Linked DNA regions of Arabidopsis thaliana. The protein of the gene in region 2 purifies or fractionates together with the protein of the main gene of each other region. This does not show direct contact. Each region holds a gene or a part of one and is shown on either strand. Other genes may lie near its edges.

The links. Proteins that work in one complex are often made in the same cells at the same time.
Region 1: the proteins of PIPK10 (region 2) and ARF1 purify together in Arabidopsis thaliana (affinity purification with mass spectrometry, with the first as the bait; one study listed by BioGRID). This does not show direct contact.

The regions. Positions count from the first base shown.
Region 1 is NC_003070.9:8,334,971-8,339,366, reverse strand, and holds ARF1 (ADP-ribosylation factor 1), read right to left. Parts: upstream 2,775-4,396; 5' UTR 2,562-2,774; intron 2,150-2,561; 5' UTR 2,136-2,149; coding exon 1,988-2,135; intron 1,859-1,987; coding exon 1,788-1,858; intron 1,635-1,787; coding exon 1,515-1,634; intron 1,428-1,514; coding exon 1,309-1,427; intron 1,176-1,308; coding exon 1,094-1,175; intron 1,000-1,093; coding exon 994-999; 3' UTR 540-993; downstream 1-539. Other genes in the region: CSLA03 (cellulose synthase-like A3), read right to left, coding at 3,137-3,299, 3,385-3,579, 3,666-3,979, 4,064-4,311, 4,395-4,396. UniProt on the Arabidopsis thaliana protein: GTP-binding protein involved in protein trafficking; may modulate vesicle budding and uncoating within the Golgi apparatus.
Region 2 is NC_003075.7:503,579-508,388, reverse strand, and holds PIPK10 (phosphatidylinositol phosphate kinase 10), read left to right. Parts: upstream 1-1,985; 5' UTR 1,986-2,227; coding exon 2,228-2,376; intron 2,377-2,465; coding exon 2,466-2,628; intron 2,629-2,725; coding exon 2,726-2,836; intron 2,837-2,916; coding exon 2,917-3,104; intron 3,105-3,197; coding exon 3,198-3,289; intron 3,290-3,378; coding exon 3,379-3,426; intron 3,427-3,519; coding exon 3,520-3,615; intron 3,616-3,698; coding exon 3,699-3,807; intron 3,808-3,898; coding exon 3,899-4,178; 3' UTR 4,179-4,254; downstream 4,255-4,810. Other genes in the region: AT4G01210 (glycosyl transferase family 1 protein), read left to right, coding at 17-95, 196-651; AT4G01200 (Calcium-dependent lipid-binding (CaLB domain) family protein), read left to right, coding at 854-1,606.

The sequences.
Region 1 (4,396 bases), on a different chromosome or scaffold from region 2:
AGGAAATTTTAGTGACAAATTTCCTAATTCACCAAAATTCACCAAAATCATCTCAAAACTTATTAAAACTCCAATCACTCTAAATTCCTTCTTCAATAAACTCAAATCTTCTGTTTCTGTTTCTGTTTCTTTTATTTTCCTTAATTGCTTATCAAATACTGTATTTAATATCGTCCTTGCAACTATCACTCTAGTCAAAATGATGATTAACGTTCCCTTAATGGCTGGCAGAATAAGAAAGTAAATCAGTGACCTTTAAACACATTAATTTTGAACAGTAATCCGCAAAATAGTTCCAACCGTACAATTGTACTATTCATATATACTCTTAGAATCACAATTTATACATTTCATTAACCTACAATTCTACAAAAATATTATAAAGAAAAACAGATAATTTATGTTATTCCATGGTTGTTAAGATAATTATTAGTTTTAGTGTGCTTATTCTAGACAAATTAAGAACGCAATATTCTGACAAAAATGAATGTGGTGTTCAAAAAGTGCGAGAATTTGGAAATATTAAAGGGATTAGAGGATGCCAGCAAAGAATTTTGAATGTTAACTTTTTTTTCAAACAAGTGGATTTATGATTAAATTGTCTACTCATTCCTCTTCTGCCACACTCTAGCATTTCGCCTACTGGTCATGGCTTTCCTCTACTTGATTCATATGACAAATACTAGCAAAATCATCAAGTTTCGTGTAGCAGGTGCCAACGAAACCGCATTCCAACATATGAATCAAAGTGCACAAGTAAAATGTGACCAAAACCACGAAAGCAGTAGGTGAAATCTTCGATTACAGTTTTACCAAAACTATATAAAAGGTAGTTTTTTTCTAAGTTCTACGTACAATCACAAAATCCATCGACATATCCCAAAAAAAAAAGCAGAACAATAACGAAAACGGAAACCAAAAAAAAAATTCAGATAATGTTTGCCCCTGCATCCAGATTTGCTCAGCAAATCAACTCCACCACGAACTTTCCCTCTACGCCTGCACAACCAGTAACAAGAACACAGAAACAAGAATCACGATTTGCTTCAAAATACTGATCCACAAATCAAAATTGTTGTTTGTGATAATTTACCTTGCCGGCAATGTTGTTGGACAACCAGTCAAGACCTTCGTAAAGCCCCTCGCCTGAAGTGGCACATGTGCTCTGGATGTACCTGGAGAGAGTTCGTAGACATAAAATCAATCAGAGAGGTGATAAATCTTTGGAACTATATCATAAGAAACGTTATGTGCAGGAGAACAAATCAACATGAGGGAAGCAGGGGAGATTATAATGTTTTTATTTACCAGTGACGCTGACGGAGAGAGTGGAGACCAAGCTTATCCGTGATCTCAGCTGCATTCATAGCATTTGGGAGATCCTGCTTGTTAGCAAATACGAGCAGAACAGCATCACGCAGCTCGTCCTGTAAAACCCCGACAAACAGTTTACTGAATCATCTAAACATGAAGAATTCAATACAACAGGCAAAGATATAACACTTGATACAGACCTCATTCAACATTCGGTGCAATTCATCTCTAGCCTCAACAACACGGTCTCTGTCATTGCTGTCCACCACAAAGATAAGACCTTGGGTGTTCTGGAAGTAATGCCTCCACAAGGGACGGATCTGACAACAAGAAGTGGAGGTTTTGCGACATGTGAGTTTGTGTAATTCTATGTTCATCAACAATAATACCAAGACACAGTAGGAAAAAGATCCCCAGGTAGTGATGCAAAAAAAAAAGAATTCTTAATGCTTTAGAGTTGGATAATCTTATACCTTATCCTGACCGCCGACATCCCACACTGTGAAACTGATGTTCTTGTACTCCACAGTCTCCACATTGAACCCTGTCCACAGTTTGTAGTAGTTTAATCATCACGGCAGGTGGAAGACAAAATTTTGTATGAATGGTATGAACAAAGTTGATGGAACTAAGCTTTTGAAACACTGAATTATGAAATGATGTTTAAGCTTACCAATAGTGGGAATGGTGGTTACAATCTCTCCGAGCTTGAGCTTGTACAAAATGGTGGTCTTACCAGCAGCATCAAGACCAACCATCAGAATTCTCATCTCCTTCTTGGCAAAAAGCCTGCTAAAAAGCTTGGCGAATGACAATCCCATCCTGCTTCACTTAACTAACACACAGAAACAGAGTATCAATATCACATAAAGAGAGATCACCAGCGAGAACTCCAAATGTTGACTATAAATCATTAGAATAACGCAGATCGAAACAGATGCAACAACGTTTACAAAACCTCATCGTATAGATCTTGCGGAATTCAGAATCTAATTGAAGCAATTACAACGAGAAAAAGGTGAAATCGAAGATAATGTTCATAGATCCAGACTTGAAACGATGCAGCAGCAGATCGAAATCAGAATTTTCAACCAAAAACATCGAAATCCAAAGCATTACCCAAAGATACAACGGATCATCATAAGAAAAATCCTAAATCGAAGCAAGAATATTCAATTCCCAACCTAAGAACACACTGAAACAATCAAAATTGAGAATGCCTTAGCTCAGATCTAGATCAATAATACCTCTGCGTGAAAGTTTCGGAGCTATCTGAGAGAGAGAGAGAGATCGCGAGAGACGAACAGAATTTGAAAGAGAGAGCTTCAAAACAACGCTAAATGCGCGACGCCGTAATTGCAAAAACGGAAGAAGATCTTTATAGAGGCAAAGGATAAAAACGTCAATTCACATAAATTATCACCGGTAATACCTAGAATACCCCTCGACGAATGTTTTCGTGGAGGGGCCTTGTGCTTACGCGGTTTACATGCGTGATGGGTCATTGGCCGTGGATTGCATCTAACCAATCCAAAACCGCCATGTCATTTTCAACATCTTAAATCATTGACGTTGACTTGTTTTTTTTGTATGTTTCTCTCAATTTTCTTTCTAGAACACAATTGGCAAATACAAATTCATAAAATGTTACGTATGAATATGATCGATAACCAAATTTTAAGATCATAACACCATTTAAAAAATTACATTTTGAGTATGAATATTGGAAGAGTTAACTTGGTTTAAGTAACCAAGATCCAATCTCTAATTTGGTCTAATCAAATAGCAAAAACACATTTGCTCTCAAATACAAAAGTCTAATCTAAACAGTTGGAACAAATGTGCCAATATAACCAACTCCAGCAACAAAAAATGCACAAGACTGTAAAAACAGATAAACATAAAAGTATGATCCTCCATATGCGAAATCGTAACATCCGCAGAAGAATATATATAATCCAACAACGAGTTCTCTCCAGTTGAGTCTGCAAAATGTTAACTAAAATTAGTTACAACATTTCAAAATGCTTAAAAATTGTAATTGTGTGTGTGTTTTTAAGTTAAGAGTACCTTTGTCCAAATCTGGTATAAAGCTTAGTTGTAGCTTTACCTATTAACTTAGACTTGAGAGTGTCACCTAATTTTTCAGTAACAACCCATTCGTTAACCCGTCCTGCCTCTAGTAACCCGATGAATGTCGCTTTTGTGCGATGCATCGACATTACATTCTCGAATAAGATCCAAAAGACAAGAAGATGGAGTGATCTGCAGTAGACAATATATGTCAAACTTTTTATCATACTAGGAAATGAGAAAACAGAGTTTTACTTGAACAGTAGAGATGTTGTTACCGAGGTGTAGCGATTGCGTTAAGGATAGTGATTGTAGTAGGAAAATAAACAGTTGCCCATTTAGGAACTTGGAGCTCAGGGAATAGCACAGTTGTTGGTAATATCAGACAGTAGAAGACAAATGTGAAGATGTGTACTACAATCTTCCTTATGAAGAAGAAATTGTATATGAGATACAATTTCTTCCAGGCCGACACTTTCTTGTTCTGTAAGATTTCCATTGTCATCTTCCTCCATAGATTAGCTGGTCCACAAGACCATCTATGTTGCTGAAACCTGTATGCTTTGAATGTACTTGGCAATTCATTTTTCACCTGAAATGTTAGATTACTTAATAATGTCTTGAATGAAATCTTGTTATGTTTTGCTTGAGTTTAAAAGGGTTATAGTAGTAGTACCTCGACGTCATGGACATAGACAAATTTCCAACCATGAAGACAAGCTCTTACTGCTAAATCCATATCTTCTACGGTTGTTCGATCTTTCCATCCTCCAGCTTCGTTTAAAGCTGCGATTCTCCATACACCCGCGGTTCCATTGAATCCAAAGAAAGCATGTATTGAAGATCCAGATTCTTGCTCAGCCACAAAATGGTAGTTTAGTGACATCTCTTGCATTCTTGTCATTAAGCACTCGTTTGCATTCACTACATGTAACACATTCTCTCCATTAGCCAATTTGACTTAACAAAATAATAACTATTATTTTTCAAAAAAGATATGACTTTACCA
Region 2 (4,810 bases):
TCCCATCTGTTTGTAGGATGTTTGTGGATTCACTAGATGCACAGATATATGAAGAGCATCATCGAACAAACCGTTGCTATCTGAGTTTAACCAAAGTAAGAAACTCATTCCTTCATCTGCGAAAGTTCATGTGTTTTTAGATCTAAATCAGATCAGTCCACTTGGGTTTGGATTTATGTGTTCAATTTCTCACAGGACAAGCATTGCTATTCGCGGGTACTAGAGCTTCTGGTGAACGTATGGGCTTACCACAGTGCAAGACGCATTGTCTACATAGATCCTGAGACTGGTTTGATGCAAGAGCAACACAAACAGAAGAACCGGCGAGGGAAAATGTGGGTGAAGTGGTTCGATTACACAACTCTGAAAACAATGGACGAAGATCTAGCTGAAGAAGCCGACTCAGACCGTCGTGTGGGTCACTGGCTATGGCCATGGACTGGCGAGATCGTGTGGCGCGGTACATTAGAGAAAGAGAAGCAAAAGAAGAATTTAGAGAAAGAGGAGAAGAAGAAGAAGAGTCGAGATAAGCTGAGTAGAATGAGAAGTAGAAGTGGTCGTCAGAAAGTGATCGGAAAATATGTAAAACCACCGCCTGAGAACGAAACTGTTACCGGAAATTCCACTTTGTTAAATGTAGTAGACGCATAAAAGAAAACAAATTAAAATTGCTTCTTTTTTTGTTAGGTCACTAATTTGTTTCATTCATTGTTTTTGGAAAGATTACTGTATAAAAGGTCTCAAGTCTCATTCATTCACTCTCCCTCTCTCTTCTCACCTCTCTTCGATTTAACCGACGGCTTAAATTCTCCGGCGGTGGAGCTTCACTGTGAACAACAAAGAAAGAGAGAAGATGGAGGAGACGCAAGTTCTTGAGATCAATCTCATCTCTGCGCAAGGACTTAAAGAACCGACGGGAAAGCTCCGGCGATTGCAGACTTACGCATCCGTCTGGGTTGATTCTTCCAGCAAACTCCGGACTCGAATTGATCGGATCGGCTCTGAGAATCCGATCTGGAACGACAAATTCGTTTTCCAGGTATCGCCGGAGTTTCTATCTAGCGAAACTTCTGGTGTTTCAATCGAGATCTACGCCGTTGGTTACTTGCGAGATCATCTGATCGGAACTGTTCGCTTCCTCGTGAGTAACTTCCTCCCAACCGCCGCCGTGAAAGTTCCATCTCTCGTCGCGCTTCAGATCCGTCGTCCTTCTGGAAAGTTTCACGGCGTTCTTAACATCGCGGCTATGGTGATGGATGCTTCTGAACTTCCAGCTGATTTCTTCAAGTCGGTTCAAGAGATCCGTCGGAGTCGGAAAATGAGAAAGTCTAGATCTGCGGTTAGTTCGTCGGAGAACGGTTCCGCTGACGACGGTGAGAGTTCGAAAGAGAATTCGGTTTGCGGATCGGTTAATTTCTCCGACGACGGTACTGACTCGACGGCGTCTTCTCCGATGCCGTCTCCTCTCAGAGACTGGAACGCTGTTCGAAATTTGGCGGGAAAGAATCACGTGCGATCGTCATCGGACGGCGGAGGATTGATGTGCTGTTTCTTGATGAAATCGTCGGGCATGTTACCACCAAGAAGAAAAATGACGGACGGCTGAGATCTGTTGTCTTGAATTTCCAACGGTTCAGATGTTCCTTTGGTTTTCTAAACCATCGATCTTCGTCACGTGCATCTCTGTCAACGGTTCAGGTCTCCTTATCCCTTACGTCGTCGTTTAGGCAGTTTTGGCGGTTATGAGTGTTAGTTAACAAACAGTTTGGAATTTCTTTAGTTCTAGTTGCTCAAAACATTATATTCAATAATTGTTGTTTCGTTTTTGAACAATTAAAAAATCTTTTTGATATGAAATAGTAATAATTCGTAGATCACAGAAAAAAAGTGTAGTAAAAATTATGTAAAAAGTGAAAAAAAAAAAAACGCGGGAAGTCGTTTATGAAGTTTTGAGGAGATAATTGTTAGTTTAACGGCTGGATTAGTTAAAACCACTAATTACGTCCTACCAGAAATAACAAAATCATCATCTTTTATAAAAAAATCAATCACTCTCTCTTGTCTTCTTCATCTTCTCTGTTTGTGCCTTCCTCTTTATCAGAAATTGCAGCTTGTACGAAAACAGGTAAATCTTCATATACGTAGAGCAATCAAATTTTTAGTTTTAAGGTTTTTTATTAAGTTCATAAATTTATGATTTTGCTATGATCTATTTAGGGTTTAAATTATGGCAAAGTTTACGAGATTGATAACAGCCATGGAGCTGAGAGCCACGGTGGAGAATCGAATTCGATACTCTACAAAACACATTAAACACTTGCCACCTGGCTCAATCACTGAGTTTGATTGGAAGGATTACTGTCCCGTTGGTTTCGGGTACGTACGTAATAACATAGTTTCATGTTTTAAGGTAAAAAAAAGAAGAGAATTGGTTTTTGTAATGTTTTTTTTGTTGTTGTTTGTAGACTTATTCAAGAACTTGAGGGTATAGATCATGATGATTACTTGCTATCCATTTGCACTGATGAGACTCTCAAGAAGATTTCTTCTGGGAAAATTGGAAATGTCTTTCATATTTCCAATGATAACCGTTTTCTCATCAAGATTCTTCGAAAATCCGAAATTAAGGTACCCCAAAATCATCTTAACACAATCTACTTTTAATTTTTTCAAGTGTGTATATATGTTCCATATTGAGTCTTTCATTGAAAACAATCTTGTGAAGGTGACACTAGAGATGCTTCCACGTTACTACAGACATATTAATTATCACAGATCATCACTATTCACAAGGATTTTTGGTGCTCATTCTGTGAAGCCTCTTGGAGGTGTTAAGGTGACAAGGATTATATATATATACCACTCCATTATTAGAGTTTGATCAGCCACTAATTAGTTACTTTTTTGGGGATACAGACATATTTTGCTGTGATGTCAAACATGCTACATTCAACGATCTTTGTGAACAAGCTCTATGATCTTAAAGGTTCTCCGAAAGGTCGATCTAACAAGAAAATTGAAGTGAGAAACACCACTGTTTTGAAGGACATCGATTTCGATTTCTGTTTCTACGTTGATCCTTTGGCGAGACAACGCATCATCAAGTACTATCCCACCCCCACCCCTCTTTCTTTCTACCATCTTGATTCTAGTTACTCAACAATTTATTAAACACAAAAGGGGTCATCTCATTACAGGCAAACAAAGCTAGATTGCGAGCTTTTGGAAGAAGAAGGTATAATGGATTATAGCTTATTGGTTGGTTTACAATCTAAAGGCTCATGTCAAGGTAATGTTTCTTCTCTCTTCTTAGGAGTGCAACTATTTGCATATCGACTTTGAACTTTTCTGATCATAATAATAAATCACTCTTAACAGGTTCACTTGATGGATTGAACCCGGTTTACGGTAGCTTCGCACCTCCAAGTAAAAAATCCTTACCAACATTCTTCATTCTTTTGTTTTATGTTCTTATATACCAAGTCTTCAACATAAATGTCTACCGATTAAATTTTTCAGGCTCGTTCAAAAGCAATAGCACAAAGTCGATGAAGACGGCTTCTAGTTCTCCTGATAGATCTTCTGTAGCAATGTATTCATGCTCTCCCGATAGAGGTAACAATGTAACTTTTTAATCTAATTAATCATAGTACTTAACAAAAATTACAATTTTTATAAACTTATTGTCTTACTAACAGATTCAGTCGAAAACGAAATGTCAATGACTATACAATCAGTGACAAGCAATAGCGCAAGCTCAGAAACAAATATATTAGCCACAACACTCAGTGACCTCTTTCACAATAGGTAAAGCATTATCCTACTCCTATATAACAACATTGCTAGAAATTTCACATCAAAAAAAATATATATATATATCTAACTTTTCTTGTTTCAGCTCAAATATCAATTTTGGGATGAAGATTCCAGCGAGGGCACGGCGAGTGACGAGAGAAACCGGAGAAGAAGAATGGTACAATGTTGTTTTGTATATAGGGATAGTAGACACATTTCAAGACTATGGTATGAAGAAACGCATAGAACATTGTTACAAATCCATTCAATATAACTCAAACTCAATCTCAACCGTCCATCCTAAGATCTACTCTTCTAGATTCCAAGACTTTGTCTCCAACATCTTCCTACCTCACGACGATGATCTCTCTTCGAAATATTGAGTTGTTTGTTATTTTTGATTTCCAAGTGGAATTATTAGAGTGTTAAGAGGTACACTTCTTACGACCCAAGTTGGTGTTGGTGTTTGTTGTCCAAAAAATCCTCTCTTTTCTGACTTCATTGTTGATCGATCAACAAAATGTAGAGAAAAACATGAACTATTAATACACATATATCAAAAATATAAAATACAGAAAAAGACAAAACCCAAAATAAAAAAAACCCAACATTGTTCTTGGTTCAACACAAAAGAAAAAACCAATCAAACCAAGTCAACCCTTTAATTAAAACTTTCAGTTGGAACATATATATCTCTGTTTACTTTGTTTTGTTAATCACAAAGCAGCATTTAGAACACTTACAGAGATTAGTCTTGTATGTCTACATTGTTACTCTCTTTAGATCTCTTAGAGATTAGGTTTAGCCAGTTCAACGTTTTTCTCCTTAATCTCTAAATAATTCTTCTGTTACAACATTACAACATATTTAATATCTTATTATCCTTAACCTAACAACTTTTATACTAAACAAAACAAAGCCATTTCTATTTGGGCTTTACTTATCTTATGGCCCAATTGACTTTTCTTCTTTCTTCTTTTTCACGACGCTTCTTCTTCCTCCTCGTACAACGGGC